7 linked regions of the Sus scrofa genome follow. The protein of the gene in region 3 interacts with the protein of the main gene of each other region in a biochemical or structural test. Links are inferred from orthologs where the notes say so. Each region holds a gene or a part of one and is shown on either strand. Other genes may lie near its edges.

Region 1 (4,268 bases), on a different chromosome or scaffold from region 3:
AAGAGACCATCTGTGGGCCCCTCTCCTATCAAAATTCAACACTTTCTGGAATTTAGTTACATTTAGCTTATTACTTTGCATCTTTAACTTTTAGACGGGTTCAGAAAAACCATGATTTTATAGTTTATCTGTCTTGTTTTGTTTGTTAGGGTGAAAGTGATGGTCTCTTGTGATTTGCTACATCCTGTTTAGAAGTGGAACTCCTTCATGGAATACTTTCTGATATATAGTCTGGCAAATACCTGATAAAATTTATCTGACCTCACTCAGTTTGATTTTCTACAGTATTTCTCAGAGCTGCATTTCTAAATCTTTTCCATTCTTCTCAAATCTAAACTCTCTAGTTCTGCCCTCAGTGGTAAATGTTCTTATCTCTTACTTTGAGATTAAAGCTGTTGACATTAAATTTTAATTGAGGGACTTGGTAGAGAGAGTAGGAAGAATTTATGGTAGGTGCTTAGAAAACTAGGCAGATGAAAAACTGACATAATTAGCTCTGGAGAAAAAGAAAGAGATGTACAAAAAAGGAAACAGGATTATATAGTAGTTTACTACTAATCTCTTCAGGTATAAAACTACAGTTGGAAGATAATTATTTTCAGGGCTGGAGGAAAAGCAAGTGATTGTGGTGTAAATCTTCATTTTCAATAGGTATATTTAACTTGATACTTCAAGGGGGACCATTGCTTAGGTATAAATAGCAAGAGTAAAGGTTCAAAGATTTTAAAGAGTTGTACCTTGGTGTGGGGAGAAGAGCTTTATTTGACTTTATCCACTATGTGGGTTGTTACTTAGATAGAGAAAAAAATATTTTTAAAATGAAGCTTAATTAAAAGTCTTCTCAAAGTGAACCACATCTCTTCCTCACAGTCTCTCGTTACCTTTACTTCTGGTTGTTTACTTCACACTTGATGCCTTTCTCCTTTCCCCTTGTTATGACCTTAGACTTTACTTTATGATAGTTATGAAAGTTTAAAACTTCGGGGAGATTGGCCCTGTAAATTAAAAAAATGTATTTTTGTTAAGTGTCTTGAGAATAGACTGAAATTCTAAAAACATAAGGAAAACTTTGTTTTAGTGAAAATATTTTATTGCTACTATTAAAAGGTAAAAATATAGTAGTATGGGTAGTGATTAATGGTCCAGTGTTGATAAAGATAAAAAAATTTTCTGTCTTGCAAAATTGTTCTCTTGGCCCACTTATCATTGTCTTGTTTTTAGAAGGATTTGTTTCCACAGTTCATTTAAATTCGTGAAGACTTGTCATGGGTGAAAAAGATAACTTCTGAAAGTCTGTTCTGAAAGTAATAATTTGAATTTCTTATCTCATTTTGTAATTTGCTTTTGCTCCTGTGTTGAAAGCAGTAGTTGATGGTAAAGTTAGCCTCTCAACTGTCCTTTCCATATCTTTTCTAGGTTAGATTAAGGAGGATATTTTCTTAGTGTGGACCGCTGCCTTTGGTAAGAACATGTCGTCCATCTTGCCATTCACTCCGCCAGTTGTGAAGAGACTGCTGGGATGGAAGAAGTCAGCTGGTGGATCTGGAGGAGCAGGTGGAGGAGAGCAGAATGGACAGGAAGAGAAGTGGTGTGAGAAAGCAGTTAAAAGTTTGGTGAAGAAGCTAAAGAAAACAGGACGATTAGATGAGCTTGAGAAAGCCATCACCACTCAAAATTGTAATACTAAATGTGTTACCATACCAAGGTAAGTGTGGTTAGGTCAGAAACTTGATGGCCATCCTGTTGAAAATTGCTTAAAGGAATCTGCAGGAAAGTTACTGAAATTTTGTTACATGCAATTCACCTGTCAATAGTGATTATTAAAATATGAAATCTATTTCTAACCTGTCATATTAATTTTGTTGGACACGATAAGACTTGTTTATTTTATAAATCCTTTTCTTGAACAGCGAGAAAGTTTAATCAAGCAAAATAAAATACTTAGATTTTACTAAGGTTTATCTTCACTGTCTTCATTTGCCTTCATTGCCTAAATGCTTCATTGTATGTTATCCTAATTTTTGTGATTGAGTGACATTTGAATAAAGATTCAAAGATTTTTGTATCACTAGTGCAGTAGTGACTGACAGTTTCCTGCTCCTCTGGTCAAAACTTCAGTAAGGAGTTAACAGAGGCTGCTAACATTGTGACGAGTTATGGCTTTTGTTTGAGTTGCAGCATTATTTCTAAGAAAGAACAGTATATGAGGCAGCTTCTTAGGTGCCATAGTCAGATCCTGTCTTGAAGACCTGCCTCGTATAAGAGAAGGACCTGTTACCTAAGAGGTTGAAGTTTTATTAGTATAAATTTAATCATTTACAGATCATTACCACTGTCAGAAATTCTGGTTTTTCAAATAGCATAACGAGTAGTTTTTAAGTGTTGTAGTGTACACTACTGTAGTTGTGCACATTGCAGGGTTATGGGGAGTGTGAGTTTATAGCATTTTCTAAAATGATTGTTTGCAGTGCCATACACATAGGCTAGCATATGGCACATGAAACCATTCTACTTGACATGTTTCTAATGAGTTTTGGGAAATAACTCTGGATGCTTGTGATAATAGCTCCCAGTGACACCAGCCTTTCTTTCTTGCAGATACTAACTAGAATGTTTCCTGCCTTGTTTTGTTTGGTAATAAAACAAAATTACCGATTACTTTCCATTTCTTTTACCTTGTTTCATGTATTTCTTTTTTTTTTTTAACTTTTATTTTTATTTTTTTGCTTTTTAGGGCCACACCCATGGCATATAGAGGTTCCCAGGCTAGGGATCGAATTGAAGCTGTAGCCACTGGCCTGTGTCACAGCCACAGCAACGCCGGATCTGAGCCGCATCTGCAACCTACACCACAGCTCACAGCAATGCTGGATCCTTAACCCACTGAGCGAGGTCAGGGATCAAAACTATATCCTCATGGATGCTAGTCAGATTCGTTTCCACTGAGCCACAATGGGAACTCCTTGTTTCAGGTATTTCTTAAGTAAGGGTCACTTTTCTTGGTTTATTCTTTTGTTTTAGAAATGCTTATGGATGCCTTCCGTGTGAAAGGCACTGGTTTTAGGCATATGGGACACAGCATGGATGAAATGCGGAGTTCCTGCCCTCCTGAGGGACAGATACACACTGTAAACAAGTGGACAAATTAATGTAATTTGAGATGGTAATGAGGACAAAAGACAGTGACTGAAGGATTAAAAAGCTGCTTTGGATTGGATTGTGACACTTAAGCTAAACTTGGAGAAGTAGCAGGTAGCTGAAGGAAGTCTTCTAGGCAGAGGAAGGGGCAAGCATACAGACGCCAGGGTGGGACATAGCTTGTCGTATTGGAGACTTAATGGATCGAAGTAGAGATGCAGTAACACCAAATGAGCACAAGGCTTGGGAGGAGTCAGATTAGATGGGGCATCAGGAGGCGGTTTGGATTTTAGTCCCAGTACAATAGGAAGCAAATGAAGATTTTTAAAGTGGATTTTTAAATTTAAGTAAATTTTAGAAGAAATTTTTATCTTTATATCTTAGATCACTCTGGCTGCTGGAGACAAGAGGGTGTGGATAGTGGAGTGTGTGGGCATGTGTGTTATAGACTGGTGTGGTATAGTGGTGTGGACGCAGAGGAATGAGGCGACTGTTAAAGTAATCCAGAATGGAGATGCCAGAGGCTAGGCTGGGCTGGCGAGGTGGTGGTAACTCGGGAAGTGGATGAATCTGGTTGGAAGCTGAACTGACAGGATTTGCTAATGAATTGGCTAGGAATAAGTCAGGCCATATTTGTTGATTTTTCATTGTATAGTGTCTGATGTTTCAGTTCAGTAAACATTTAGAAACATAAAAGTCTTTGCTCTTGAGTTGCTTACTTTCTAGAAAGGAAGATAAACTTTAAAAAAGAAGAAAGATAATTTCATAACATCCAGGGGTTGTTCTGAAAGATGTATGCTTAGGGACCTATGTCCAAAGAGGGGGAGCCTTCCCTACTCCATGCTGTGTGGAAAGTTTCCTGCTGGAGAAAGATTGATGCCTGGGTTGAGTGGATGTCAAGGAGGACTTTTCAGGAGAAGCTGAATCCCTCCAGAGAGGCTCTGTGGTATTGAGGGTGGCAGTTGGCCAGAACTGGTGAAGGGTGTCCTGGGAGTTGGAGGTGGCATATGGCAGGAGCGAGAGGCTGTGTGGGTGTGAGGAGCCCCCACATCCTGCACTTAGGGGTTCACCCTGAACCCCAGCGTGGTTGGGTGAGAGTGGAGTCCTCGGTGTTAGGTAAAGAAGACTCC
Region 2 (3,991 bases), on a different chromosome or scaffold from region 3:
AGCGAAGCCAGGGACTGAACCGTGTCCTCATGGATACTAGTTGGGCTCCTCACCGCTGAGCCATGGTGGGAGCTCTTCCCCCCTTCTTTTTAAACAGGTACTTTCAGAGCCTGACAGCTGTTTCCTTGGCATTGCATCAACCTACTAAGCGGTAGCATTAATATTTGTGGAAGAGTGCAATTTCTAAGCCATATTCTAATTTGGTGTCATTTGGTCCTCTCTAAAATATTAATACGGAGTTTTGAGGTTTTAAAGGTTTGAAATTATCGCTACTAAAATTGATCTATTTTTATCTATAGTAAGTAAACTGATAAAACAAGGTACACCATAACATGGAGGATTTTTTCTTATTAACAAGTCCTTCCATTGTTTTAAGTTATGGAGACATGGTAGAAGGCCACAATATTTCCTTTTAGTAAGTTACTTAGAATATATTTGTATGCCAATATCATACACCGGTGCTGGGCGCTTTGAGCCGGAGCAATCAGTTTCAGCTACAACTTAGTAAATTCGAACAAAAGCCGTTCATAGTAAAGGCTTTTTCGTTTATTTTCAGAACTGACATTTTGCTTTCGCGCCTTAGGCGTGTATGGGGGCTCGGGGGTAATTTCCAGCAAACTTCGCCTCTTCTAAACTTCAATTTAACCGAACCCCGCCCCTGCCTCCGCCCCCTCCCCACAGGCTTCACGGTAGCCCGAAGGTGGGTTTCGGTGCACGCCTCCCTACGCTTTACTCTTTTTCCTCCCGAGGGTCGGGAAATGACAGCAACGGAAATACCAGGCTCCCGGATATGACTTCTTCTGCTTTCTCTCCCGCTACTTGCAGCCTTTCCAGAGTTCACCTTTCCTCCCTGCACATCAACAACCTCCTCTAGCCACCTCAAGCAGCCACCTGCTGAGCGCCCCAGTCTCGCGCCCGCCTCCAGCCAGCTGCCAATCACCCTTCTGCAGCTCCTGGGTTACCGAGACAACACTCTTTCGACTGGTCCCGCCCCGTCCAGAATTGCTTCCCGCCCATCTGGCTCTTTATCCAATAGCCAGCGGTCGAGTAGTCTTTGGCTCCCGCCCCCTTCACCCCGGCCCTCCTGCAGTCCCGCCCCTTTTCCTACGCCTCACGGAACCACCTGACCCGGAGGCGCTTGGTCTGAAGGAAAGCAAGAAGGGGCGTGTGCGTGGAGGGGAGGGGCATGAGAAGAAAGGAGGGATGCCGGGAGTGGGGCGGAGAGAAGGGTTGTCAGTCCGATCTCGCGAGAGAGGACGGAAGCCTGTGGGAGCCCGTGGCCTTTAAAGTGTGGTTCAGCCCTTTCCTCCTGGGGTGGTTGGTAAACACCGCTGAGCTCGGGTATTCTCAGCCACTGAAAGAAGCATGAACTAGTGACTTGGAAAGGTGAGTGGTGATGGGGAGAGGGCTGCAGGACTGCAGACTGTAGGGATACGGAGAAAGAAGGCACTAATATGGCGACGTCGCTCACCATAGTCCCCACCCCCCGCTTCCCATCACCTCGGGCGCTCCTGACTCGGTGCCTAGCCCGCGGGGCGGCTGTGGCTGTGCTGCCACCTCAGCGGACCGCGCGGCGTCCGCTTCGCGAGCCGGACCGGCCAGGCTGGACCGTTAGGTAACTGGCATTTGTTGTTCCGGCCCCTCCCTGCTCGCGCGCTTTCCTAACGAAGAGGAAAAGAATAACGGCTCCTCTTAGACCCCTCCCCCTGATATAGCTTCCCCTTCTTTGGTCAGTTCAGAGGTCCCGGGGCACACGTCGGATTCGCCGAGGATGCAGGGAGACCCCCCGCTTCAGTCCTTAGATTGAACAGGAAGAGGGCTGGCTCTGGGCTCCCCACTCAGTGGTTTGGGGACTGTATGTGATGGTGGTGGCGGGGGGCAGGATCATGAGGCGCGGCTGAAAACAGGGTCAGGGTCTCTGGCTGTGGTGGAAGCTGGTGGAACAAATGGTGTAAGAACCTGGAGCTGGAAGTATCTGCCTTTTCTGTCCTTTCTGCCCCTTCATACTCTCGCCACCCCCTGCATTTTCCCAATGGGGCGGGGCTGAGGTGCGGGTGCAGATTGATTCTGGTATTTTCCCCCATTTTTTTTTTTTTTAACCTTACTGGGTAGACTGCAGAGCTTCTGTAGGGGAATAACCTGTGCTTTTTATTGATGCCCTAGGGACCGGGCCCGAGTGTGTGTGTGTGTGTGCGCGTGTGTGTGCGTTTTCTGTGTTCGCTGGTTGAACTGACGCTAGGAGGAGGGAGAAGGCGGAGGGGCTGGGAACTATTTTTGTTCCCTTAGGTAGCATAAAATTGTCTTTGCTTAATGAAAAGTTTTAAAACTGGTCAGGACAGGAGCAAAAGTACTGTGAATATGGTGGAGTAAAAGGGATTACTCCTGAGGAACCTTAGGCCTGTGACTAATCCCTTAATTATTATGTGAAAAGTTACAGATTCTTAGGAATTTTAAGTTTTGGAGACGGCAACAGTAAATAAATTTAATGTATATGTTTGAAATCAGGAAAAACCGGTTCCTTTGGGCACACTTTTTGTCCTATGTGAAGAAATCTATAACCATTGTCAGTAATCACCTTTCTAGGCACAATCTTAAAGCCTATATCCAAAACTATGAAGGTGAGAAGCTTGTTAAAAAGTCATCCCTACAGGGTTAAGTGCCCTGGAAGACAAATACAATAGCAATTATATTTTGTAATTGAATTTAAATTTATTACACTGACTTGAAGAATCCGCTGTAAGCACTGTTTTCAAAACTACAGGAACATCATTGTACAGTATGTTCAAAAATAGAGATGCCCTTCTTCAGATCACGAAGCAATTACGTTCATGGATCTTTAAGGTCATTAATAATTTAATTCTAATCTTTGTAAAATAATTTGTATGAATATTCCAAATGCAGTGTGTGCTGCTTTCCTAAGAAACATGTTTAATCTTGTTTTGAGAGAATGCTACTGCCATTAAGTTTTAGTTATTTAAAGTGTAATAGAGTGGTAGTTTAGAACACAGGTGTTTGGTTTTTAGTTGTCAGTAAGGAAGGGGCTTTCAGGGACTTTTGTGTGTTGTAAGATACATGCCTTCTGTAGATTTGATTGTATTTTCTGGAATTTGTTTTTTGAAATACCTTATTAGAATGTTTATTTAGTATTTGGGGCACTATATTTATTAAATGTGCAATCCAGAAATTCCTGCATTTACTTTTTTACTTAGAGTATATGTTTCATATTTTTAAACTGAGATTAACAGAAGTGATTGTCAGCTCTTTAAGAAATAATTTGAAGTGGTGCTTTTTATTGGTATTCAGGATTTAGAGACTATATGAATATCATTTTTTTTTTTTGTCTTTTTGCCTTTGCTAGGACCGCTCCCCCGGCACATGGAGGTTCCCAGGCTCGGGGTCTAATCGGAGCTGAAGCCGCTGGCCTATGCCAGAGCCACAGCAACGCAGGATCCAAGCCACATCTGCAACCTACACCACACACAGCTCACAACAACGCCAGATCGTTAACCCACTGAGCAAGGGCAGGAACCGAACCCGAAACCTCATGGTTCCTAGTCGGATTCGTAAACCACTGTGCCACGACGGGAACTCCTATATGAATATCATTTTAAAAAGATATGCTTTACATCAAACTTCTACTCCCTGTAATTAACATTAACTCTGAAGAAATCATCTATAAAGTTTTTCTACCTAAATTTTTGTATTTTGGAAAAGTTGGGATTTAATGATTTGTATATCTTCTGCTGGTAGATTAAATTGTTAGATCCAGTAAATAATCTCACCATACATGCTGTTTCCATTCATTTTGTCTTCAGGCTCTTCCTTCCAATATGAAATAAGCCTATAAGCTGGCACCTCTTTTTCTTTGATATTCCTAGTTTAATGTCCTTAGAAAAGGTAAAGTAGTTGAAGTCTCCCTATTTTAAACCAGATTTTCACCAGAAACTCTCATCTCCACTGAATAACAATTATTTTTTTTAAATTAATAAAG
Region 3 (4,285 bases):
GTCCTGCGGATAGTGGGCACGCGGGCGGGCCTCCGGGGGAACCTCACACCTGACTGCAGCACCTGCGGGGTCCAGATGGTTGCGTAGGGCACGAGGGCCCTAAGCCCTGATGTAATGGGGCCTTCTGGGCCCGGCGCAGACTGAGTGTGCTTGGCTGGGAAGCAGCGCTCACCACTTCCCGGTGCAGGTGAGGGTGTCGGACCTGGGGCCCCTATTGCATCAGGCTGGGGAACAAGGGCTCAGGAGTCCTGCGTCCTCCTCACTTCACGTGGAGGCCTTCGAATCTCGGCCCTGCCACTTCCTGCCTCAGTTTCCCCATCTGCACTCGCTCACGGGCGGACCCAAGAGCAGTCTGTAACCTGCAGAGGCCACGACACAACGCTGGCATCCGGCGGGGAGAAGCTGCCAGCCCTGGTCACCGAGAAGGGTCGCGGAGCAGGGGCGCGGGGAGCCGGGACTGGGCAGAGTCGCCTGCGGGACGGGCAGGCCCGGGCGGCGCCAACTCCGCGCCTGGGGGCCCGGCTTGCTGCCAGGCCGCAGCCAGACCCCTCGCCGCCCAGTCGCCGTCAGAACAAAAGTGGCGGCGGTGCCCGGCGCCCGGCGCCCCGCAGGCCCGGCCCCCGCCGGGCAGTCTAGCCGCCCCGCCACTCGGCCGCACGACGTACGGCAGCCGCGCCTTCGGCCCTTTCCGTCCGAACGCGCTCGGCTCTTTCCGCTGCGGCCGGCGCAGGTGGAGGGGGCGGGGCGGGGGCCGTGCGTGGTGACGCCGCGGGGGGGGGTGACGCACCGGCGTGCCCCGCCCCCTCCCCCTCCCCGTTCAGGCTCTGGAAAGAGAAGAAAAAAAACTTTCTTTTTTTTTTAATTGAGGAATCAACAGCCGCCATCTTGTCGCGGACCCGACCGGGGCTTCGAGCGCGATCTACTCGGCCCCGCCGGTCCCGGGCCCCACAACCGCCCGCGCACCCCGCTCCGCCCGGCCGGCCCGCTCCGCCTGGCCCTCGGCGCCCGCTCCGGCGGCCCCGCTCGCCTCTCGGCTCGGCCTCCCGGAGCCGCGGCGGCGGCGGCGGCGGCGGCGGCAGCGGCGGCGGCGGCGGCGGCGGAACGGGGGGTGGGGGGGCCGCGGCGGCGGCGGCGGCGGCGGCCCCGCTTCGCTCATTGTTTTTCCTCGCGGCGGCGGCGGCGGCGGCGGGCCGCGGGCAGGGAGCGGAGCCCGGAGCCCCCCGGTCGTCGGGCCGCGAGCGAATTAATTAAGTGGGGCGCGGGGGGGGAGCGAGGCGGCGGCGCGGCGGCGGCACCATGTTCCCGGGGACTGCCTGAGCCGCCCGGCCGGGCGCCGTCGCTGCCAGCCGGGCCCGGGGGGCCGCCGGGCCGCCGGGGCGCCCCCGCCGCGGAGTGTCGCGCTCGGGAGGCGGGCAGGGGATGAGGGGGCCGCGGCCGGCGGCGGCGGCGGCGGCGGCGGCCGGGGGCGGGCGGTGAGCGCTGCGGGGCGCTGTTGCTGTGGCTGAGATTTGGCCGCCGCCTCCCCCACCCGGCCCTGCGCCCTCCCTCTCCCTCGGCGCTCGCTCGCGACTCGCGGCTCGCGCTCGCTCTCCCCTCGCAGCCGGCCGGGGCCGGCGCCGACCCCCGCCCCGGAGCCCTCGCCGGCCCCGCCGCCCGCGCTCGGGGCTGTTTTCGCGAGCAGGTGAAAATGGCCGAGAACTTGCTGGACGGACCGCCCAACCCCAAACGAGCCAAACTCAGCTCGCCCGGCTTCTCTGCGAATGACAGCACAGGTGAGTAGGGGGCCGGGCGGGAACAGGGGCCCCGGGGGTCGCTGACAGCCCTGCCCGGAGGTGAGTGCCCCCGGGGGACCCGAACTCGAGGGCGGGCGTGCGGGGCCCTTTCCCCGGGACCCCGGCCGCGGAGGGGGAAGTTTGTCGGAAGACTGCCTGGGGCCCGAGTGGGGCGGCACATGCCCGGTGCGCTCGCATAGCCCGGAGTTGGCGAGCCCTCCTCGCGTGGAGCCCGAGTGGTACTTCCAGGGGGGAAAAGTAAAGCGGAGCGTGTTTGTTCTGCGTGGTGAGTCCCTTTGCCACCCTCTGCCGCCGTGGGTCGACACACGCGTGGCTGTTTGAAGGGATGACAGCGGAGGGTGCGTTTGCCAGTGAGGGAAGGAAAGCGTGCAGCCCAAAGGGGACCCGAAATGTTTTCTGAATTGGTAGCACATTCACAAGGCAACCAGAAGACACGCAGAGCTGCAGCCAGCCTCTTGAGTTACGACTTAGAAGTTTTTTGGAATGTGCTGCTTGGGAAAAATGCTTAGTAGTTACTTTGAAAACTCTTGTTGTTGGTCTCCTGAGCTATCCCATTTTTCACAGCCCCAAACTTCGGAAGACGTCCTAAGTGGGGTGTTTAATTTCAAGACTGTAACTTCGGAAGAAAGTTAAATAGCAGATTGATCCGGGCTGCAATCTGCAAGTGAGCTTGTGTTGCTTTTACAGTGAAGATGTAAGAAGAAAAAATATGTTAAGGAATGGGGGAATTACAGTCTTCCTCCCTAGTTTTTTCGGTAGGATACTGAATAAATTCACTGTTTTAAACATCTTCCCTGGAAACTTTCTTAGGTGATCACATCAATTACCTAAGGGAAGTGTTTTAGTTTTCTATTCATTTATAGTTTTAGGTTCTTCTGGGCTGGTTCATGGTAGCGTTATGAACTAGTTGTATTTCCTCTTTCAGAGCTCTCCTTTGCGTTAAAAACTTGTGCGCTTCGGTGAACGATTTGATCCCCAGCGCAGCTTGCATTTCTCCACTGTGATCTTGCAGTAGCAGCATCTGTAAATCAGTTTATAATGAATGGGTCAGAATTGAATTATATTGCTGCAGCAGTGCCTTCAGATTTGCAGTAGACACAGCTGTTCAGCTTGTGCAAACATTTCTGTGACTGACCACTAGCGTTTTTCTGCTAGTGGTCTAAAAATCTATTGCTATTGTTGGAACAAAACTTGAGTTTTGTGGCTGCAGTTTTACTACAATTCCTAGACTATTTTTTAATGTAGAATTGAGAGAAAGTGTAAAAAAAAAATCATGAGATTCTTGTCTAGTTGAAATGAAATTTGTTGAAACAGTTGGAGAAGAGTCAGTTAAGTCTCATGGTGTATAAAAGTCACCAATAATACTCTTCTTTAAAAAAAAAAAACTGATGAAGTGTTGTGTTTGATGTTAATTTTGTAAAATCAGCTTATCTGAAATGAGAAATGTGAGAACAACCATGATTTCAATGCTCTGATTTTACTGCATTTAAAAAACTCTGATTTTACTGCAGAATAGCTCATCTTGGCTCCATTAATCTTGGCATGTTTGAGTGAAAAATCTTTAATCATATGAAATATAGATCATACTGGACAAGTTTGCTTTGAAGCTTGTCCTCTGAAACGTAACTTTTGAATGGCTTTGCAGCTTTGCTGTTGTTGATTGAGGTTATTTTAGACTTTGCTTTTTATACAGAGGGACAAGGGAGTTACGTGAGACGTAGCAGAAAGGCTTGTCCCACTGTAAACTTGTACCTCTTTTCAAGATGGCACCCAAAGGACTGGCTCTTGGGGCACTTCTGTTATTGGATGGTCAGATATCTACTTAATGTGTGGCTGATCACAGTAAAATTTATCAGAAAGGGTGGATTTTGACCACTTTTTTCCCTTTCTAATTTTGATCCTTTTGAGGCACTGGAGCTCTTTTGCTTTTCCAAATGTGGAACAAAAAAGTCAGTTTTAACAGCTCTGTTTAAATAATCCAAAGAATAAATTCACCTTTATATGTGTGTCGGGTCCTTGGTGGCGCGTTCGGCACCATCATGTCCCTGTGAGAGGGTCTCTTAGTGTCAGGGCCTTGGAAGGGCCCTCACTGAGCACATGAAGCAAGGTACAGCCTTGTCTCCCGTAACTGCTGGTCTGAAGCAGGGCTTAAGGATGTCTGTCAAGGCAAAGCAAGGACTAAAGGGATTAGATTACACGCAGTCAAAGGATCGAAGGCATTTTGTTAAATGGAAACATGGGGAGAGACCTGAGAATAACATTCTCGAGAGACTCAGCCTCATTTAAATGAGGAGATATGGGTTTGTGGCTTCTAGGATAGAATTGGACCGGGCAGGAGTTCCCGTCGTGGCGCAGTGGTTAACGAATCCAACTAGGAACCATGAGGTTGCGGATTCGGTCCCTGCCCTTGCTCAGTAGGTTGACGATCCGGCATTGCCGTGAGCTGTGGTGTAGGTCGCAGACGCGGCTCGGATCCCGAGTTGCTCTGGCTC
Region 4 (4,246 bases), on a different chromosome or scaffold from region 3:
ACTGGATCTCAGTGAGGGGTGAGCCCACACTCTGGTCAGTGCTAGGGCTTCGACCCTTTTCCCAGCGGCCAGGACCCACTGCATTAACCTTCAAGAGCGCTCCGCGGAGAGGGGAGTAGGGCGGAGGCCTGTGTGCGCCTGAATCCAACAAAAACACCTCGCAAGCCTACGTTTAGAAAGCGATACCTAACACCACACTCACGTTTTTTTAAAAAAAGCACTGCTTGCAGAGAAGATGAGAGCGAAAACATTTCCCGGCTGGAAAAGTACTGATCACAAACTAAGGGGAGGGGGGTGGGGAGGCAGAGTTATAAGACTGAAATAACGATCGCAGTTTCCTCTTCTCTTCCCGGTGGGCAGTGACAGCCGCCGCGGGCTCCGTGTGACCTTATCAGGAACCGGGGTTCCAATGCGTCGCTCCACTTTCTGGCATGGGGCCACTTTCCAGCCAAGTCCCTTCGGTGGGCTTGACCGCTCGAGACAAGGGAGCGAGTTGCCGGTTGACCTTTACCTCGCCACTTCACCTCTTTATGACTCAGTTTTCTCATCCATAAAATGGAAAGGACAGTGCGTGGCTTGCAAAATGCTTTGAGATTCCTGGTTGAAGGTATCTCCGCGCCTCACGCCCCTCTTCCCTCCCCCACCTCACGAAGTGAATTTTGAGACTTTCCCGTCCCTTCCTCTCTCCTTCAATAATATCAAAACCGTAGCTCCATTTCCCATTCTGGTCTTTTACAGCCTTTTCCAGGCGGAACACCCCTCCGGCCTTCTCAGGCTCCCAGTCTTCGCCTTGCCGTCCTGGGCTTCCATCTCGACCCCCTACCCGCGACCCGGCAAAAGTGCCAGCGAAGAGCCGTGTGACGCCAGGCCAAGGGCCCGCAATGGCACTCAGGGACTAGAGCCGGGCTCCTGCGTGCGTAAGAGAGGTACGAGCTCTGGATGAGTCACGCGGATAATCGCGCTCTTCTCTAGGGCGCAAAGTGCGCGGCGAGCGCTCACCCGGGCTGTGGTAGTGGCGTGTTACCGTCCCCCTTCGCCCCCAGCAGCCTTCTCGGCCGCAGGCTTCGAACCTGGGGAGCTGCCCGTGGCGACGCCGACTGTCCTGGTCGCGCGGCGACCGGACCTGCGCCCGGTATACCCAGCGCCTGAGCCACTGCGCCACCGCCGCCGGCGTCAGCGCGGCTCCTGCCCGCCAGCTGCTGGGCTGGCGTCACGGCCCGCCGTGCCCCGCCGCGCCCCTCCTTCCTCCCCGCCCCACGTGCGCCAAGTTTGTTTATTTAGCTGCTATGGCAACGCGCGGGGGGGGCCGCGCAAGGGAGGGGAGAAGAAAGGGAGGGGGCGGGGCCTGGCGGCGGGCCCCTGCGCACAGCGGGTAGGAGGCGGGGGGAGGGCGGGAGCCAAGAAGTTATAAGTAAGGAGCGCGCGGCGGCCGCCGGCAGTTCCCCGGCCGAGACAGCGAGCGCGGCTGCGGGCGCGCGGGGAGCAGAGGCGGTGGCGGGCGGCGGCGGCACCGGGAGCCGCCAAGTGCCCCTCCCCGCCCCTCCGGCCCCCACCCACCCACCCACCTGCCCGCGGCCAGCGCCCATGGCCGCGCGCGCCCCGCGCAGCCCCCCGGACTCCGCGCCCTGCGCCGCCGCCCAGTCCGCAGATCAGCGCCGCCGCAGCCAGTCTCACCTGGCGGCGCCGCCCGCCCGCCACCCCGGCCACAGCCCCAGCACCCAAGGCCATAGCCGCGGCGACCGCGACAGCGGTGGGGGACACTGCTGAGTCGAAGAGAGCGCAGCCCGGCCACCGGACCTACTTACTCGCCTTGCTGATTGTCTATTTTTACGAGTTTACAACTTTTCTAAGAACTTTTGTATACAAAGGAACTTTTTTTAAAGGCATCTCTTTTATATTTAATCCAAAGAAGAAGGATCTCTGGCAATTTGGGGTTTTGGGTTTTGGCTTCGTTTCTAAGTCTTTTCCCCCTCTTCGTTGACTGGGGTTCGGGTACCCCCGCTGCTTCGGACTTCGGAGGACCTCTGAGGCCCCACATTAATGAGGTAAGTGCGGCGTGGGGGTGGGGGAGTAGGGAGGAGTGAGGACCGGTGGGACCCGCCAGAGCGGCCGTCAAGAGTGGCCCCTGACTCAAGCCTCTGTGCTCCCCACCCGGCCCGCAGGCAGCCACCTGGCGAGTCTGACATGGCTGTCAGCGACGCACTGCTCCCGTCCTTCTCCACGTTCGCGTCCGGCCCGGCGGGAAGGGAGAAGACACTGCGTCCAGCAGGTGCCCCGAATAACGTGAGTGTTGTCACGGGCTGTCGGGAACCTCTAGTGGGCTTCTGTGGGTGGGGTGGGGACGGGCGGAGCCCCGGGGTCACCCAGAACCCCTCCGGACGAGGGGAGGGAGTAGCCACCGCACGGGCTCCGCAGCCTTCCCAGGATGGCTTCCGCGCTCTTGGCTCAGCTGTGCTTGCGTGTGGTCCGGACGGTGTGGAGCCGCCGGGGGCGCACACCGGGCCCGCACACGTCCCGGAGCACGCAAGCGGCAGGGCGGGCGCGCGAGCTACCGGGCGGGAGGTGTCTGTGTCCCCAGACACTGGCTGGGCGGGAGTGAGTTTGGCGCGTAGGCGTCCCCGTGGCGAGGGCGCACCGAGAGAGCTTCGGTGTCCTGATTCTTGGGGCGGCGGGAGCGTCCCCTGGATCTGGCGGGGGAGGGACCCAGGCTGGCGAGCCGCGGCGCGCGCTCACAATCCATGGGGCAGACACAACATAACATCCTCCATATACACGCACCGTTTCTCTTCAGACCCAGCCATGATTTCGACGCTGGCACTCTTAGTTCCCAGGCGCTTCCTGCCGGCCAGGTCCCCACGTCTAGGCGGTGTAGGCGCGGCCAGCCCACCACTACGTCGGGCGGCAGTTAGGGACTGCACTGACGGTATCTCTTGTCCTGTCCCGGCAGCGCTGGCGGGAGGAGCTCTCCCACATGAAGCAAAGACTTCCCCCGGTGCTTCCCGGCCGCCCCTACGACCTGGCGGCGGCGACCGTGGCCACCGACCTGGAGAGTGGCGGAGTCGGCGCGGCTTGCGGCAGTAGCAACCCGGCTCTTCTACCCCGGAGGGAGACGGAGGAGTTCAATGATCTCCTGGACCTGGACTTTATCCTCTCCAACTCACTGTCTCATCAGGAGTCAGTGGCCGCCACCGTGTCCTCGTCGGCTTCAGCCTCATCCTCTTCCTCCCCATCGAGCAGCGGTCCCGCCAGTGCGCCCTCCACCTGCAGCTTCAGCTATCCGATCCGGGCTGGGGGCGACCCGGGCGTGGCACCGGGCAGCACTGGAGGCAGCCTCCTCTATGGCCGGGAGTCTGCACCTCCCCCGACAGCTCCCTTCAACCTGGCAGACATCAACGATGTGAGCCCCTCGGGCGGCTTCGTGGCCGAACTCCTGCGGCCTGAATTGGACCCAGTGTACATTCCGCCGCAGCAGTCGCAGCCGCCAGGTGGCGGGCTGATGGGCAAGTTTGTGTTGAAGGCATCGCTGAGTGCCCCCGGCAGCGAGTACGGCAGCCCATCGGTCATCAGTGTTAGCAAAGGCAGCCCAGATGGGAGCCACCCGGTGGTGGTGGCGCCCTACAGCGGTGGCCCGCCGCGCATGTGCCCCAAGATCAAGCAGGAGGCTGTCTCCTCGTGCACCGTCGGCCGGCCCTTAGAGGCCCACTTGGGCACTGGACCCCCTCTCAGCAATGGCCACCGGCCGCCTGCCCACGACTTTCCCCTGGGGCGGCAGCTCCCCAGCAGGACTACCCCAACCCTGGGTGCGGAGGAACTGCTAAGCAGCAGGGACTGTCATCCTGCCCTGCCGCTCCCCCCGGGCTTCCATCCCCACCATGGGCCAAACTACCCACCCTTCCTGCCGGATCAGCTGCAGCCGCAGGTCCCACCGCTCCATTACCAAGGTCAGTCCCGGGGAATCGTAGTTGGGGCTGGGGAGCCCTGCATCTGCCGGCCCTCTGGGGCCCACGGAATGGTGTTGACCCCACCTTCTTCACCCCTAGAGCTCATGCCACCTGGTTCCTGCATGCCAGAGGAGCCAAAGCCAAAGAGGGGGAGAAGGTCGTGGCCCCGGAAAAGGACGGCCACTCACACTTGTGATTACGCGGGCTGCGGCAAAACCTACACGAAGAGTTCTCATCTCAAGGCACACCTGCGAACCCACACAGGTAGGAGGATAGAAGCTGGGGGGGGGGGACAGGGGGTTGGT
Region 5 (3,967 bases), on a different chromosome or scaffold from region 3:
CCTGGCCCTGCAGCGCCGCGGGGCTGGCGGCGTGGTGCGCCAGGTCCGGAGACTGGCCCGCGCTGCTGGGCTGGTGGCCGGGGTGCGCACCCAGGCCGGGGCCACCGCTGCCCACTGAGATAGCTGCCGCCGCCGCCTGAGCAGCTTGCGCCTGTTGCTGCGCCTGCTGTTGAGCGTGGCCTTGCAGGCTTGCGGCGCCCGGAGCCGGGGCGCCCGCCTGGCAGGGTTTGCCGTCTTTCACCAGGACTGGCACAGCCACGCGGCGTGGTGACTGCTGCTGAGCTTGCTGCTGCTGCTGGCACCCGGCGCCCCCGCCGCCGCCGCCGCTATCCTGCTGCAGTTGCTGCTGTGCTGCCTTGTCCTTGGCTTGGCGCTTCATTTTGTAGCGGTGATTCTGGAACCAGATCTTGACCTGCGTGGGTGTCAGGTGGATCATGCTGGCCAGGTGCTCGCGCTCGGGCGCGGACAGGTACTTTTGCTGCTTGAAGCGTCGCTCCAGCTCATACACCTGCGCCTGGGAGAAGAGCACCCGGCGCTTCCGGCGCGGTGCGCTTGGTAGCGGGGCCATATTCTTGCTCACGTCCCCCAGAGAGCCCAGGCCGCCCATGCCGCTCATGTTCATGCCGCTCGTCGGGCCCATGAAGCGGGAGACTGTAAGCGACAAACGCACAACGTCGGCAGGGGCCGGGCCGGACCAGACCGCCTCTGCCTTCTGCGCCCTTGGCCGGCCCGGCCCGCCCCGACGGCGCCCTCCTCACCTAGGCTGCCTCCACCCTGGGAGGCCCAGCTGCCTGCCTCAGGCCATGGCGTCTTCGAAGTGTTTGCTGGAGAGCTCTCTGCCTCAAACCCCGCTACCTCTCTCAGTCTCAGTGCTCCACCCCAAAGAAGCGGCGTGGAGAAAGGCTGCTCCTGTTCCTTTCATGGTTAGCGGGCCACAGGCAGCAAACTGGGCCCAGGCCAGGAGCTGGGGTCCGATGGTAGACCCCAGCTTTGGGAGCTTAGCAGAGAGAGGTGTTCATTTTTGAAAGCTAGAAACCCCAGACTCTTTGCCTCTTGGCTTCTCCCTCCGTTGGCCCCAGTGAGGGCACTCTTTCGGCCCATTTAGAGCCCCCTCTAAGCCGCGCGCCCTCCCACCTGCCTAGACTGGAGAGTGGGCCAGGCCAGGGGCCTGGGCGCATCCCAGCCGGGAAAACCTCCCTCCCGGCCAGGCCACCTCTCCGTGCCCTGTTTGTCCCGGCTCTCTTAGTTGGAGGGACGCCACCCTCAGCAATCCAAGGTCTCCCGCACAGAGCAGAGCGGCCACTTGGCCGCATCTGGCAAACACCGAATTCCAGCTTCTGCCCTCAGGACCCCAGAGCTACCAAGTGCCTCTTCTGGAACCCATCAGCTCAACAAGGGAAGACTCCCCAGCTCCTGTGCCCGACTCCCTGGCGCCACTGCCCGGCCGCCCACCCTGATGCCCACCGCGCAGCTCATAGGCGCCGCGCCTTCCCGGCGGCTCTCTCTGCGCCTCCTGAGCTCAGCCCGCGGCCCCGCAGTGGGGCGGCCTCACTTACTCGCGGGGAAGCGCGGGTCTGGGTTGGCGCCGTACCATCCGGGGCCCGACGCGCTGTTCCGCATGGTGTCCTGGTACGGCGGCAGCTCACTCATGTTGCCCAGGTTGCCGTTGCAGTAGCCCCCCACGGCGGAGTGCGAGAGCTGGGGCACCCCCGCCGCCGTCATGTGGTAGGCGGCGGTGACGGCGCCGTGGTGCCCCACGGCGTGCTGCTGCATTGCCGTGGCCGGTGGTGCCGCCTGGCCCTGCCTGTAAGCCGCCAGCGGAGCCCCGAGGCCGCCGCCCTCCATGCCCACTTTCTTGTAGCTTTCCTCCAGGGGACTCAAGATGTCAGACACTGAGAACGGAGTCGTGTGCTTTGGACTCATCGACATGATTCGGCGGCGGCTGGAGGAGGAAGGAAGAGGAGGAAAAAAAAGGGAGAGGGGGAAGGCGAAGCCTCGCTGCTTTTTTTTCTCCCTTTGCCAAATATTCTGGTGTTACCTTAACGCCGATCTTGTTGGATGTACACGTAACCGAGTGGACCGAGTCCGCCTTAATTGGCTTGAGTGGAGGCTCGGGGGCTGCCTCGCGTTTGTTTTAGCCCGGCGCCAGGTTTTAGGCAGCCACCAGAGGCGGGGCATAAGCGCTAAAGCAACAAGACAATAGAAGCCTACATCTTGCCCGAGATAATTAGCTTACATGCTGATGACAAGGTAAACACCTTTAAGTTTCACTTGTCAGGATTTTTAGGTCTCAAAGAGGGAGGGAGAGAGAGAGAGAGGCAGAGACGCGACCCGAAGCTTTTCTTCCCCCCCCTCCCCTGGACCCCCACCCCCATTTTTTGTGGGGTGCGGGCGGCGCGGGGTGGGGGGAGGTGGGGGAGGGAAAGGAGGAGGGAACCGAGAGAGGGGAGGGCAAGAGGTGGGACTGGGAGTAGCCAAGGAGGAGTGATGGTGGGTAGGAAGGAAGGTGAATGCTGCTTTGCAACCAACTTGCCGAGTTACAAAGTGAACCACTTTCCAATTTGGTCGGGGTTCCCCGGGCGGGGACAGGAAAGGAGTGGGCCAAGGGACGGGGTGGGGGTTTCACCTGAGCCTGCTGGGGCTGCTCCTCCCTCCCGCCGCGGCCTCCCAGCCCCGCGCCTTCCCACTGCCTCCGGACCACATCTGGCTTCGCGGTGCCGAGCCCCAGCCGCCACCAAAGGAGCTCACGAGTCTGGGGACGAACCCTGGGACCGCACTGTTCTGCGAGTGGGTCTGTCAGTCTGTCTGCCTCTTCTGCCGCCGTCAGAAGGACACCTCTGCTCCCCGCCCCCTTTCCCCCTACCCGAGAGAGAATCCTGGCGGGCGGAGGGGGCGCTGAGCAGGGGATCGACTGTAGCTGCCGAGAGGCTGTCCCAGATCTCCGCGCCCCCCTCCCCCAGCGCAGGGGTTTCTCAGAGGGCCAGGGCCCCCTGCTTCACGCCCCCCCCAACCCACACGCGGCTACCCTTCCCCACCCCCGCCCCTGGCTAAGACTAGGACACCACTGGCCACCCGAGCTGAGAGGCTGGGGGGATTGACGCTAAGCGCCATCGCTTTAGTTGCTCCACCTCGAACAAACCTGATGTCCCCGACCCTCTCCCATCGCCCGGACACGCGGGGTTCTGGGACTGGAGCTGACTTTCCGAGGACATCACAGCCCCAGGACCCGAGCCCAGAGTCACGCTGTTTTCCCCTCTGATGCTTCAGGGAGGGCTTGGGCAGGGAACGTCGTGAGTGCCCGCCCGCCTGTTGCCGGGCGGAACTAGCCTGAACCCTGGAGGGATGTGCTGGCCGGGAGGGGGCGAATCCCCAGGCGTGAGCAGCCCAGCGGGCGGGAGGCTGGGCTGAAGCTTGCCTCCACCCGGAGCTCAGCCATGCAAAAGTGCACTTGCTTCCCTGGGAATAACCAAATATCTTTGTTTAAAGTGGCAGCGTAAATGGCCAGTCGCTTTGTGGCCACGCTGGATATTAGTAGATGAGGATCATTCTGCTTCAATTGGGCGCCTCTCATCCGGCTAGCAAGAAACTGCTTAGGAGGAAGTGGGTTTCCTGTCTGCGCGTTCCCAGGCTTCAAGTGTGAGCCCCACGCCTTGAGGGTCCTTGGGCGCCTGGAGAGGAGGAGCTGTGGGCTGCGCTCCCCAGCCCGGCCGGAGGCATCCGCCGCGCTGCTCCAGCCAGGCCAGGGCCTCCAGCAGAGTGGACTACGGAGCCGAGCCCTGCGCAGTGCAGATCCTGAAACCCACTGACTTTTCTCATTGGAATTTAAACGTTTTGCAGTTGTTTTGTTTTGTTTTTCTCTTTGGCTGTTTTAGCCTCCTCTCCTAGCTAGGAACTGGGAGGGCGGAGCACTCCCTGATCCGCAGGAGCCTCCAAGACACCGCGGGGGCCGGTTAAAAAGGCTTCTGGA
Region 6 (3,945 bases), on a different chromosome or scaffold from region 3:
ACTGGCCTACGCCACAGCCACAGCAATTCGGGATCCGAGCCGCATCTGCAACCTACACCACAGCTCACGGCAACGCCGGATACTTAACCCGCTGAGCAAGGCCAGGGATCGAACCCGCAACCTCATGGTTCCTAGTTGGATTCGTTAACCACTGAGCCACGATGGGACTTCCCATCCTTTCTTCTTTAGGCCTTGGAACTAGTACATGGTACAGCCACCTTCCTGGAGAGGTCAGCTCCCTAGAAGCCTGTTGTTCTTGCCTGTTGGAAAGGGGGGGCAGGTGTGACTGCTAACTGCTCCCCTAGCCGCCTAAACTAAGCCTTCTTGTTCTAGGTGAGTGCCGCCCCCTGGTGGGGTGGTAGTAACCTTGGCACATCACCAGGGAAGCCAATTTAGGCTTGAGGCCTCCCCCCTTGGAGTAGGGTGGAGGTGGGGAGTGAGAGGTGAGAGACTTGGGGGCCCCAGATTTGGCCTTGCCATCATTCCATGGCAGCATGTATTAGCAGAAAGGGCATACGATTTACAGTTAGACCTGAGTTCAAATCTTCATTCTATCGATTTTGGCAAGTTTCCCAACCTTGCTTTACTTTTGTTTCCTAATATGTAAAACGTGGAATCTCAGAATCGCTGTGAAGATGAATACAATTTAAAAAACTCAACTACTTTTTTTTTAAACTCAATTACTTTGTAAACTGAGAAACCCCATATAAGTGGGACTACACTCCCACAGCAAAAAACTAGCAACTCATAGTTATTTCTTCTACCCTGGAAAACAAACCTAAGGGAAAAGAAAAAACAGCTGTGTAGGCTGGGTCCAAGGAGGGGAGCTCTTTATGAGCTGAGACTCGTGTGGCAGTCTACCCAGAAATAGTGCCAAGGGTCTCAGTCAGCTGTCCTGCTTTCTGTTCTGCCCAACCCCTAGGGATACTGTAGATCTGCTCCCTTGATCTCTTCTACCTAGAAGACCCTCTGCTCATTCAACCCTCTGTATTTCCTTGCATCCCGATCTCACCACTTATGGGGGTACAAGACGTCAATAGGAATTGAAGCTCCCCTGTTTCGTGATTAGAGTCCCATGTTTCTCAGGACAAGCTTTTAGAGCATCTAGTGAGACGGTCCCTCAGCGTTTCTTCATGCAAAGCCAATGGAACTCCCAACCTTGTGCTCTAAAGTCAGAGCCTTATCTCTCTATTTTTTCCCCTCGAATATTCCTCAAGAGTGAATGAAAACTTCCCCCACAACTTGGACAGCCCCTTACTAGGCAGAGTTTCCTGGCATTATATAGGGTAAACTGAAGCAGCCTCCTCCTTTCTCTTAGTGCGAAAGATCCGCTACGTCACCCCATGGATACCACTCTTTTTACCTTTTGCCACTTCACTCCATCTTCTTGGGTAGCAGAGTTCTAGAACAGTGCTTCTACCCTGAGGTATTCGGAGGCAAGCAGGGAATCCAAGCAATCCCACAGGAATGGGAGAAAAGGTGTAGGGGTGGGAGGTGGAGGAGGAGGGAAGGCTAGGTTCCTGTGGGGAATCCACACAGTTCCTGCTGTACATAGGATAAAGACTTCTCTGTGGGGATAAGTGTTTGGGGCAGCCCAAGCCAAAGTGCTGGGAGTGTTGAGCAGTGAGCAGAGAATTCAATTTTTCTCCAGGACAAGGACAGTGTCTTATTCATCTGTGATCCTCCAGCATCAAGCACCGAGCAGCATATACTATGTCCTAAGTAAATGTTTGTCTAATTGAGGAGGGAAGGTGGATCTCTGGGGTGGAGGTGTAAAAGGGGCCCCAGAGTAGTAGCAAGGAGACTGGGGGACCCAGGGGCAGACAGGTATTGGGATGGAGGTAGGGGGGTTCATAGTTACCTTCCATCCTGCTGAGCTGTTGCTGTCCCCCTTGTCCTTGAAGTAGGGCACGGTGCGGACCATCCACTCATAGATCTGGGCGAGTGTCAGTCGCTTCTCGGGGGCGCTTTCAATGGCCTGGCTGATGAGTTCTGCATATGACTGATTTCCCCAGGCATTCCGGCGGGAGCCTCCCTTCCGAGGACCTGTTACAGCCCCCAGGATCCCGGGCTGGGGGCCCCCTGCCGGGTCTGGGAGCCGGTTGGGCAACAGGGTCGGCTGGGAGCGCCCCTCCGAGCGCCCCTCCGGGTGTACCTTCTCTCCCAGACCTGACTCCACCTCGGGCGGCTCGGGCGGCTCGGGAGCGAGCTCTGGTCGGGGAAGGGGCCAGGTGCAGGAGCGGGGACGGCTCTGGGGTTCGAAGTCGGGATCGAGGTCTACGGTCGCGGCAGCCTGTCTGGCTGAATTCTCATTCCCTGGATCCATACGTGGAGCTGGACCTCCGCCGCTCAGCGTTCAGAGGAGCCTGCCACAGTCCCTTGCGATGCCTCCCCCCAGGGGGGAAGCACCGAGGGCCAGGAGGCACATTCCTGCCAGTCCTCAGAAAGTCTCGAACTTCCCCCTCACCCCTGGACGCTAGCCCCTAAGCTGTCCCTTCCACACAGTTAGTTGTCTGATCCTCTCCTCCACTACAGCAGCCTGCAGCCTCGGAGCTGTGAGCTCCGAGACACCACCTGTAACCACCGCCTAGCGAAGGCACTTTTTCCCCAACCTCTCACTCAGCTTCCTGCTCTTTTAAATCTGAGGCACCGTATCCCCTCACATATCGCACTCCCATCACAGAACGTCTCCTAAGCCGTAGTTCCCTCCCCCTTTTAAGTTGCTGCCCCCCGGACACTCCTCCCGAATTTCCTCCACCCGGATCGCTGCCCTCCCCCACGCCCCGCTCCCCCGCGTCACTTGCCCCTCCCCTGACTCCCCCACCCCCCGCCTCTTTCCTCCCCCCCAACTCTTAATCCGGTCCACGTCCCGGCGGCCCCAGGCTCTCGAATTCCCGCACCAATCCCCCTATCAACCCCCCCCACCCCCCGCCCCCCGGGTTTCCCTTTTGTTTTGCTCCAAGCAGCGGCCCCCGCCTGACGTCTCTGTTTACCACTCGCCGGGGCAGCCATCTGCGCACGCGCCTGGAGAGTCGGTTGGGAAACCGAGTTCTCTAGTCGTGCCACCCTGGTCGGGCTTGGGGACTACATCTCCCGTCCTACTTCGCGGCTAGGAGCCCGATAAGGGTGGCAGGAGAGCTGCGTGGCAGGATATAGAGAGAGGGAACATTAATTATTAGAGGTCGTCGCGGACTTTTTCTTTTCTTTAAAAATCATTTTCCTCCTCCCCGCACCCCGCCCCCTCCCCCGTCCTCCCTGTGATTCGGGGATCGCCTAGATGACCGTGTGAGGAGATGCTAGAAGAGGGCAAAAAGAAAGAATGCGGTCCCTGCAAGAGGCAAGAAGTAAAGAACTGGCTAGTAAATAGGCTGTTGTCGCGTTGAGGAGTTGGGTGCAGGGTTTGGGGCACATAAACAAATGGATAGCTGATGATAGTGTCTCCCCCACCACCCTCAACTCCCCATACGCAGTTCTCACAGATAGTGCGGTTGCTGACCAATCAGTTTTCTCCACTGGCTCTTCTGGCCTTTCCTCAAATATTGATGTTCTCCAGGTTCCCATCTTCGGCGGCTTCACTTCTCATTCAACAGGTTCCAAACAGAACGCATTATCTGTTCCTGCACCCACACCCCCAATCCTCTGGATATCTTATCTCAGAATTTGGTTAATGGTTGTCCTAATCTATCCAGTCTCCTAAACTAGATTTACCCTTCGTCTTTTCATCTCCGTAACCTCCCACGTCCAAATCCCAGTTCAAGATCTTACTTATCACGGGACTAAATTGCAGCAACGTCTTAATCGGGGCCCCCCACCATGAATCTCTTCCCAACTGCGGTTTATGTTCTGTGCTGTCAACAAAGTAACTTTTCTGAGAAATATTTCTGGTAATAACAACTAAAATTTATGGAGCATTTATTCCGTGCCAGGTACTGTGCTGATTGCTTT
Region 7 (4,288 bases), on a different chromosome or scaffold from region 3:
GGGTCCTAGCCCCACACCTCCTGCTCTTCCTCCCCCAGACCACGTGCCACCCTCGGCGGCGTGTGGTGTGGTGGGTGCCAGGCCGTGGGGGACGTGCCTGGCGCAGGTGCCCTTGCCCTGTCCCTCTTGCGCTGGCTGCCCTGCCTGCCCTCCAGGGCGCCCCTGCCCCTCCACTCCCTGTTGCCAGTGAACCCAGGACCCCCGTGTGTCTTGTCCTCTCCTGTCCCTCCAAAAGAAAAAGCCGTCTTTTCCCAGTCGGTTCTTCCTCCAGATGTGGGCTCTCCCCGTGTGCTAGACGTAGGTGACTGGGCCAGGGGCAGAGGTCACGTGGTGGGGGCGGGAAATGGGTGGGTTTGGGTGAGATGTTGTGGGAACCAAGGATGACTCTGACTGGGGCTGGAGGTGGGAGGTGGGGCTGTTTCCCATGATGGGTGAGGAACTAGCGTTTTTGGGCCTGGGTCGCGGGGGGGGGTGTTCGGCTACGTCCTGGCCTTGGTCCCCCGCGGGCAGGTGGCGGTGCAGGAGAGGGGGTAGTTTGAGGACGTCTCCGTGTTTCCCTGTGGCGCCCCCACCCCCGCTGTGCCCTCTCCCTCGAAGGAACTAAAGCCTCCTTTGGGGGCAGCTCTGGGAGCAGTGGGGGAGCCCTGGGCTGGGGGGGCAGACGGCGCCACCTGTAGCACAGGTGAGAGGCTGGACCCCCCCGCCCCCCGCCAGGGTCTGATTGTGAGGGAGGGTGGGGGACTGTGCCTGTCCTCCAGCTCCTCACAGACCCCCTGATCCCCCGCCGCCACTGCCAGTGCGGCTCCCGCCACGCAGGTGACAGGGTACAAGGAACTGGTCTGCCTTCTGTCGCGTCTGTCCTGCGTCCAGCCCAGGGCCTGCCCTCAAGGGGCCCCGTGGGCACAGACTTGGCGGTTGAGGGGTGGCTGCAGTCCGTCCTTCTCCTGCCCCTCCGGGCAGGGGCTCCATCTCTGAGGAGTGCCCCGGCTACTTCCCCGGTGTCCTGACTGCCAGGGGGGCCCAGGAGAGCCGGGCTGGGTGGCCAGCGCTGCAGCTCGAGTCCCAGCCCTGCCTGACCTGCAGCACCAGGCAAGCCCTCGGGCCTCTGTCCCCTGGTGTCTGGCCAGGGAGCCGGTCCCAGGAGGGTGGAGTCAGGCTGCTGAAGGCTCAGAAAGTTGGGGGGGGGTGGGAGAGGACTGGGCTGGGAGGGGCCTGCAGGGACCCCGCCTGTGTGACAGGTGGCCCTCAAGCTATGAGTGGGTGTCCCCAGAGGCAGGCCGACTTCCTGAGCAAAGTGGGGTATCCCAGGCAGCTGATGGGCAGACACCCCAGGCTATGGCGGCCACTGCGAGTGCTGGGCAGCTCAGCTCAGCTCAGCCGCAGGTGCTGGGGGCTGGTGGGCTCCGTGTGGCTCAGAAATGCGCATTTTCAAAGATTCGGTCTTTTGTGTGCTCTCCTGATTTTTGAAGGCTGATAGTTAAAAAAAACCAACCCTCCTTCAGGATGCAGGTCTGGCTGGACTCGGCTGCAGCCTCCTGCTGTGTCTTCAGACTGCGTGTGCTGTGCCAGGCCGCGGGCCGGTGTGCGCAGCTGCTTCGGGACGTTCCCCAAGGCCCGGGCCTCCCTGCCTACTTGGCCTGGTGCCCGTGGTCTGTGCACTGTCTCGGCGGCAGCCCAGCCCTGCGGGGTCCCAAACCTAGAGCCCGTGTCTGGCTGTCCTCCTGGGTGACCCCACCCGTGGATGGGCCGCCTGGACCAGGTGGGTTGGGAGAAGGGAAGGGGGCAGCCAGATGCTGGCCATGGGCTGAAAGAAGGGGTTGCGGGCTCACAGGACGAGCCGGGCCTGGGAAGCGGAGGGGGTGCCGGCCTGGGCCTGCCAAGGAGCCAGCGGGCAGGTGGAGGGGAGCGGGGCTCCTGCCCCTGGACCCGGCCTGGACCGGCCACCTGCAAGGCCCGCGGGCATGTGTGCACAGGGGAGGCGCGGGCCTGCTCACCACCCGAGCTCCACCCCAGGCACGGGGCCGGGGGGGCTGGTCCCTGGCGTGTCTTGGGCCTTGCTGTGCCCCCTGCCTGAGCCCCTTTCTGGCCTGGACCCTCGCCGGCTCCAGGCCCTCACCACCCCTGCTGCGCTGGTGCCAGGCACCCTGGTGGGGAGTGGGCTTCCTGGCCGTGGTGGCTCCTCTTCCTGCCCCGCTCAGCCCTGGCCGGATCCTGCTTCCTGCTGTGGCCGCAGCGGCTTCCCTGCCCTCAGGCGGCTCTGAGCTGCCCAGACGCCACTTCCATTTGCTGACACGAAACCCACGGTCCCGGCCCTGGGCTCACATGGGGCGGGGGCTGTGGGGGCGCAGCCTGGCTCCCCTTTCGAGGCGACGGTGGCTCTGCTGAGTGGCCAGCGGGCCGAGGCCTGCAGGGACCTGTTCAGCCCGCCTGGGCGCACGGTGCCGCTGCGGGGGCTCTGCCAGGGCGAGGGGCTCGCGGGAGCGTGGGGCAGGGTCTGCTCCCCTTGCCCTGTGCCCCGGGCCGGGTGAGGGGCTCCCCAGGTGCCGCTCAGGTCATGCTGCAGTGACTGTAGCTCCAGTCCGGGCAGTCCCTCATCCACAAGCAGTACCCTCTGCGAGGGCCCAGCACTGGCCTGGGGCAGATCCGAGCCGGCAGCCGGGCTGAGGGTGGGCACGGTGCTGGGCCCCTGCTCCTGGGGCTGGGGTGCTCTCTTTGGGACCCCGGCGGCACCAGGCTGTGGCCGTGGTCGTGGCCAGCCAGCCGGTGTGGGGCCGAGTTTCCTGTTTTGTGAGCGCGTTGAGTTTTCTCTTCAAAACAAACAACAAAAGAGGAAGCTCAGGCGTCCTTGGCTGGGGGGTGAGGGGTCACTGCCCGCCCCGCTTGGTGTCCCTGGGCTCCTGCCTGATGGGCCCCGAGTGGGCAGTGCTCCTGCCTCCTTCCTGGCCCTGCCGGGCAGGGGAGGGGGCTGGGGCGCCGCTGGGGTCCCGGGCTGGCTTCTGCGGACACCCCAGCTGCCCCAGGTGGCATGGTGTGCACGCCCAGGAGGGGAACCCAGGTCTGGGCGGGATGGGCTGGGATGCCAGGCCCAGTCCGGAGCCCTGGGCCCGGACCCCTACCCTGCGCCAGCCCTAGGGAGAGGCCTGGGCTGGGTTGCGTCAGGCCAGTTCCTAGAAGTGCCACGGGAGGGCGGGGCGGGGGGGCTGGCTCGGCTGTGGCTGGCGTCCCCTCTCCCCGGGCACACCCGGCCAGGCTCGCGGCCAGTGCCCTCCCCGCGGGCCTCCCGCGCAGGAGCCGGCGGCTGCCTCTGTGCCCACAGAGGGTGGATGCCCACTGCTCCCGCCCCCTCGCCGAGCCTGGCCCCGCAGCCCCAGGAGGAGGCCCCCCAGCCCGGACCTGGCCCCTGGCGGGTTGGCAGAGGGCCCTGGCTCCGGGCTGGGGTGGAGCTGCGTGCGCCCCGCTTAGCCACGCCCTGCTTCCTCTTGAACCTTCAGAAGGGACAGGCTTGTGTGTCAGAAACAGCAGGATCGATGGTGGCGGTTCTTTGGTGGCGCCTCTGCTGACCCTGGGGGCTTTAGGCTGGGGCACTGGGTTTGGGGTCACCGATCCCTGCCCCCTGCCCCGACCATCTCCAGGGTGGTCGGGCCTGCCCAGAGGTCTCAGTGCTTCTCCCAGCAGGGGCGGGAGCCCACCCTGGGCCCTGCTGCTGAGGCGCTGGCGTCCCCCTCGGGCCGTGGGGGCCTCACAGCCAGTGCTGGGGGCTGTGGCGCGGGAGCCAGGTGACGCCTGGAGCGGGGAGGATGCAGCCTGCCCCCGGGTCACAGAGGAGGGGGCCGAGGGAGGGGGCCCTGTCCCCACCAGGCCCCGCTGTCCTCCCGGCTGTCCCGCCGCAGATGTCACTCCGGTCAGGGAAGAGCAGGTGTCGGGCTGGGAGGCCTTCCTCTGCGCCTCTGGGCTGGCCCCTTCCTGTGCGGGTTGTGCTTCTTCCTGGGTGTCGGTGCCCGGAGCCCCTTGCACCCCAACCCGGGCCTCGCTTAGGGAGGCTGGGGGTCACTTGGACGCCGAGGTCTTGCCTCTGCCTCCTCTGGGTGTTTGCAGGGAAGGGGTCTGGGCAGGGCCCCTGCCCACGGGGAGGGCTCGGCCATCCCTCTTGCCCCCCGCCCCAAGCCACCCTGCGGGAGCTACCACAGCCCGTCTGTGCGCCGCCGTCCGCCCGCTCTGTCTCCGCCTCTGCCTGCTCAGGACCCCGAGGCCTTTCTGGGTTTGGTTGGGTGGCTCTTGGCCCAGGAGT

The links.
Region 1: the proteins of CREBBP (region 3) and SMAD2 form a complex in vitro, tested with the Homo sapiens proteins (2 studies listed by BioGRID). The link is inferred for Sus scrofa from reciprocal best matches to the Homo sapiens genes CREBBP and SMAD2.
Region 2: the proteins of CREBBP (region 3) and ATF2 form a complex in vitro, tested with the Homo sapiens proteins (2 studies listed by BioGRID). The link is inferred for Sus scrofa from reciprocal best matches to the Homo sapiens genes CREBBP and ATF2.
Region 4: the proteins of CREBBP (region 3) and KLF4 form a complex in vitro, tested with the Homo sapiens proteins (2 studies listed by BioGRID, with this or other methods). The link is inferred for Sus scrofa from reciprocal best matches to the Homo sapiens genes CREBBP and KLF4.
Region 5: the proteins of CREBBP (region 3) and NKX2-1 form a complex in vitro, tested with the Homo sapiens proteins (2 studies listed by BioGRID, with this or other methods). The link is inferred for Sus scrofa from reciprocal best matches to the Homo sapiens genes CREBBP and NKX2-1.
Region 6: the proteins of CREBBP (region 3) and FOXO4 form a complex in vitro, tested with the Homo sapiens proteins (2 studies listed by BioGRID). The link is inferred for Sus scrofa from reciprocal best matches to the Homo sapiens genes CREBBP and FOXO4.
Region 7: of the proteins of CREBBP (region 3) and AKT1, one has a biochemical effect on the other in vitro, tested with the Homo sapiens proteins (2 studies listed by BioGRID, with this or other methods). The link is inferred for Sus scrofa from reciprocal best matches to the Homo sapiens genes CREBBP and AKT1.

Annotation. Positions count from the first base shown.
Region 1 is NC_010443.5:97,481,424-97,485,691, reverse strand, and holds the start of SMAD2 (mothers against decapentaplegic homolog 2), read left to right. Parts: upstream 1-1,468; 5' UTR 1,469-1,469; coding exon 1,470-1,705; intron 1,706-4,268. UniProt on the Homo sapiens protein: Receptor-regulated SMAD (R-SMAD) that is an intracellular signal transducer and transcriptional modulator activated by TGF-beta (transforming growth factor) and activin type 1 receptor kinases.
Region 2 is NC_010457.5:81,073,774-81,077,764, reverse strand, and holds the start of ATF2 (cyclic AMP-dependent transcription factor ATF-2), read left to right. Parts: upstream 1-1,191; 5' UTR 1,192-1,386; intron 1,387-3,991. UniProt on the Homo sapiens protein: Transcriptional activator which regulates the transcription of various genes, including those involved in anti-apoptosis, cell growth, and DNA damage response.
Region 3 is NC_010445.4:38,386,881-38,391,165, forward strand, and holds the start of CREBBP (CREB-binding protein), read left to right. Parts: upstream 1-1,485; 5' UTR 1,486-1,687; coding exon 1,688-1,772; intron 1,773-4,285. UniProt on the Homo sapiens protein: Acetylates histones, giving a specific tag for transcriptional activation. Mediates acetylation of histone H3 at 'Lys-18' and 'Lys-27' (H3K18ac and H3K27ac, respectively).
Region 4 is NC_010443.5:248,606,775-248,611,020, reverse strand, and holds the start of KLF4 (Krueppel-like factor 4), read left to right. Parts: upstream 1-1,446; 5' UTR 1,447-2,040; coding exon 2,041-2,045; intron 2,046-2,162; coding exon 2,163-2,283; intron 2,284-2,947; coding exon 2,948-3,941; coding exon of another isoform or gene 3,942-4,040; coding exon 4,041-4,205; intron 4,206-4,246. UniProt on the Homo sapiens protein: Transcription factor; can act both as activator and as repressor. Binds the 5'-CACCC-3' core sequence. Binds to the promoter region of its own gene and can activate its own transcription.
Region 5 is NC_010449.5:63,486,640-63,490,606, reverse strand, and holds the start of NKX2-1 (homeobox protein Nkx-2.1), read right to left. Parts: upstream 2,801-3,967; 5' UTR 2,704-2,800; coding exon 2,627-2,703; intron 2,351-2,626; exon of another isoform or gene 2,179-2,350; coding exon of another isoform or gene 2,039-2,178; exon of another isoform or gene 1,943-2,038; coding exon 1,557-1,942; intron 652-1,556; coding exon 1-651. UniProt on the Homo sapiens protein: Transcription factor that binds and activates the promoter of thyroid specific genes such as thyroglobulin, thyroperoxidase, and thyrotropin receptor. Crucial in the maintenance of the thyroid differentiation phenotype.
Region 6 is NC_010461.5:57,131,404-57,135,348, reverse strand, and holds the start of FOXO4 (forkhead box protein O4), read right to left. Parts: upstream 2,801-3,945; 5' UTR 2,327-2,800; coding exon 1,862-2,326; intron 1-1,861. UniProt on the Homo sapiens protein: Transcription factor involved in the regulation of the insulin signaling pathway. Binds to insulin-response elements (IREs) and can activate transcription of IGFBP1.
Region 7 is NW_018084979.1:3,052,673-3,056,960, reverse strand, and holds the start of AKT1 (RAC-alpha serine/threonine-protein kinase), read left to right. Parts: upstream 1-1,488; 5' UTR 1,489-1,503; coding exon 1,504-1,759; intron 1,760-4,288. UniProt on the Homo sapiens protein: AKT1 is one of 3 closely related serine/threonine-protein kinases (AKT1, AKT2 and AKT3) called the AKT kinase, and which regulate many processes including metabolism, proliferation, cell survival, growth and angiogenesis.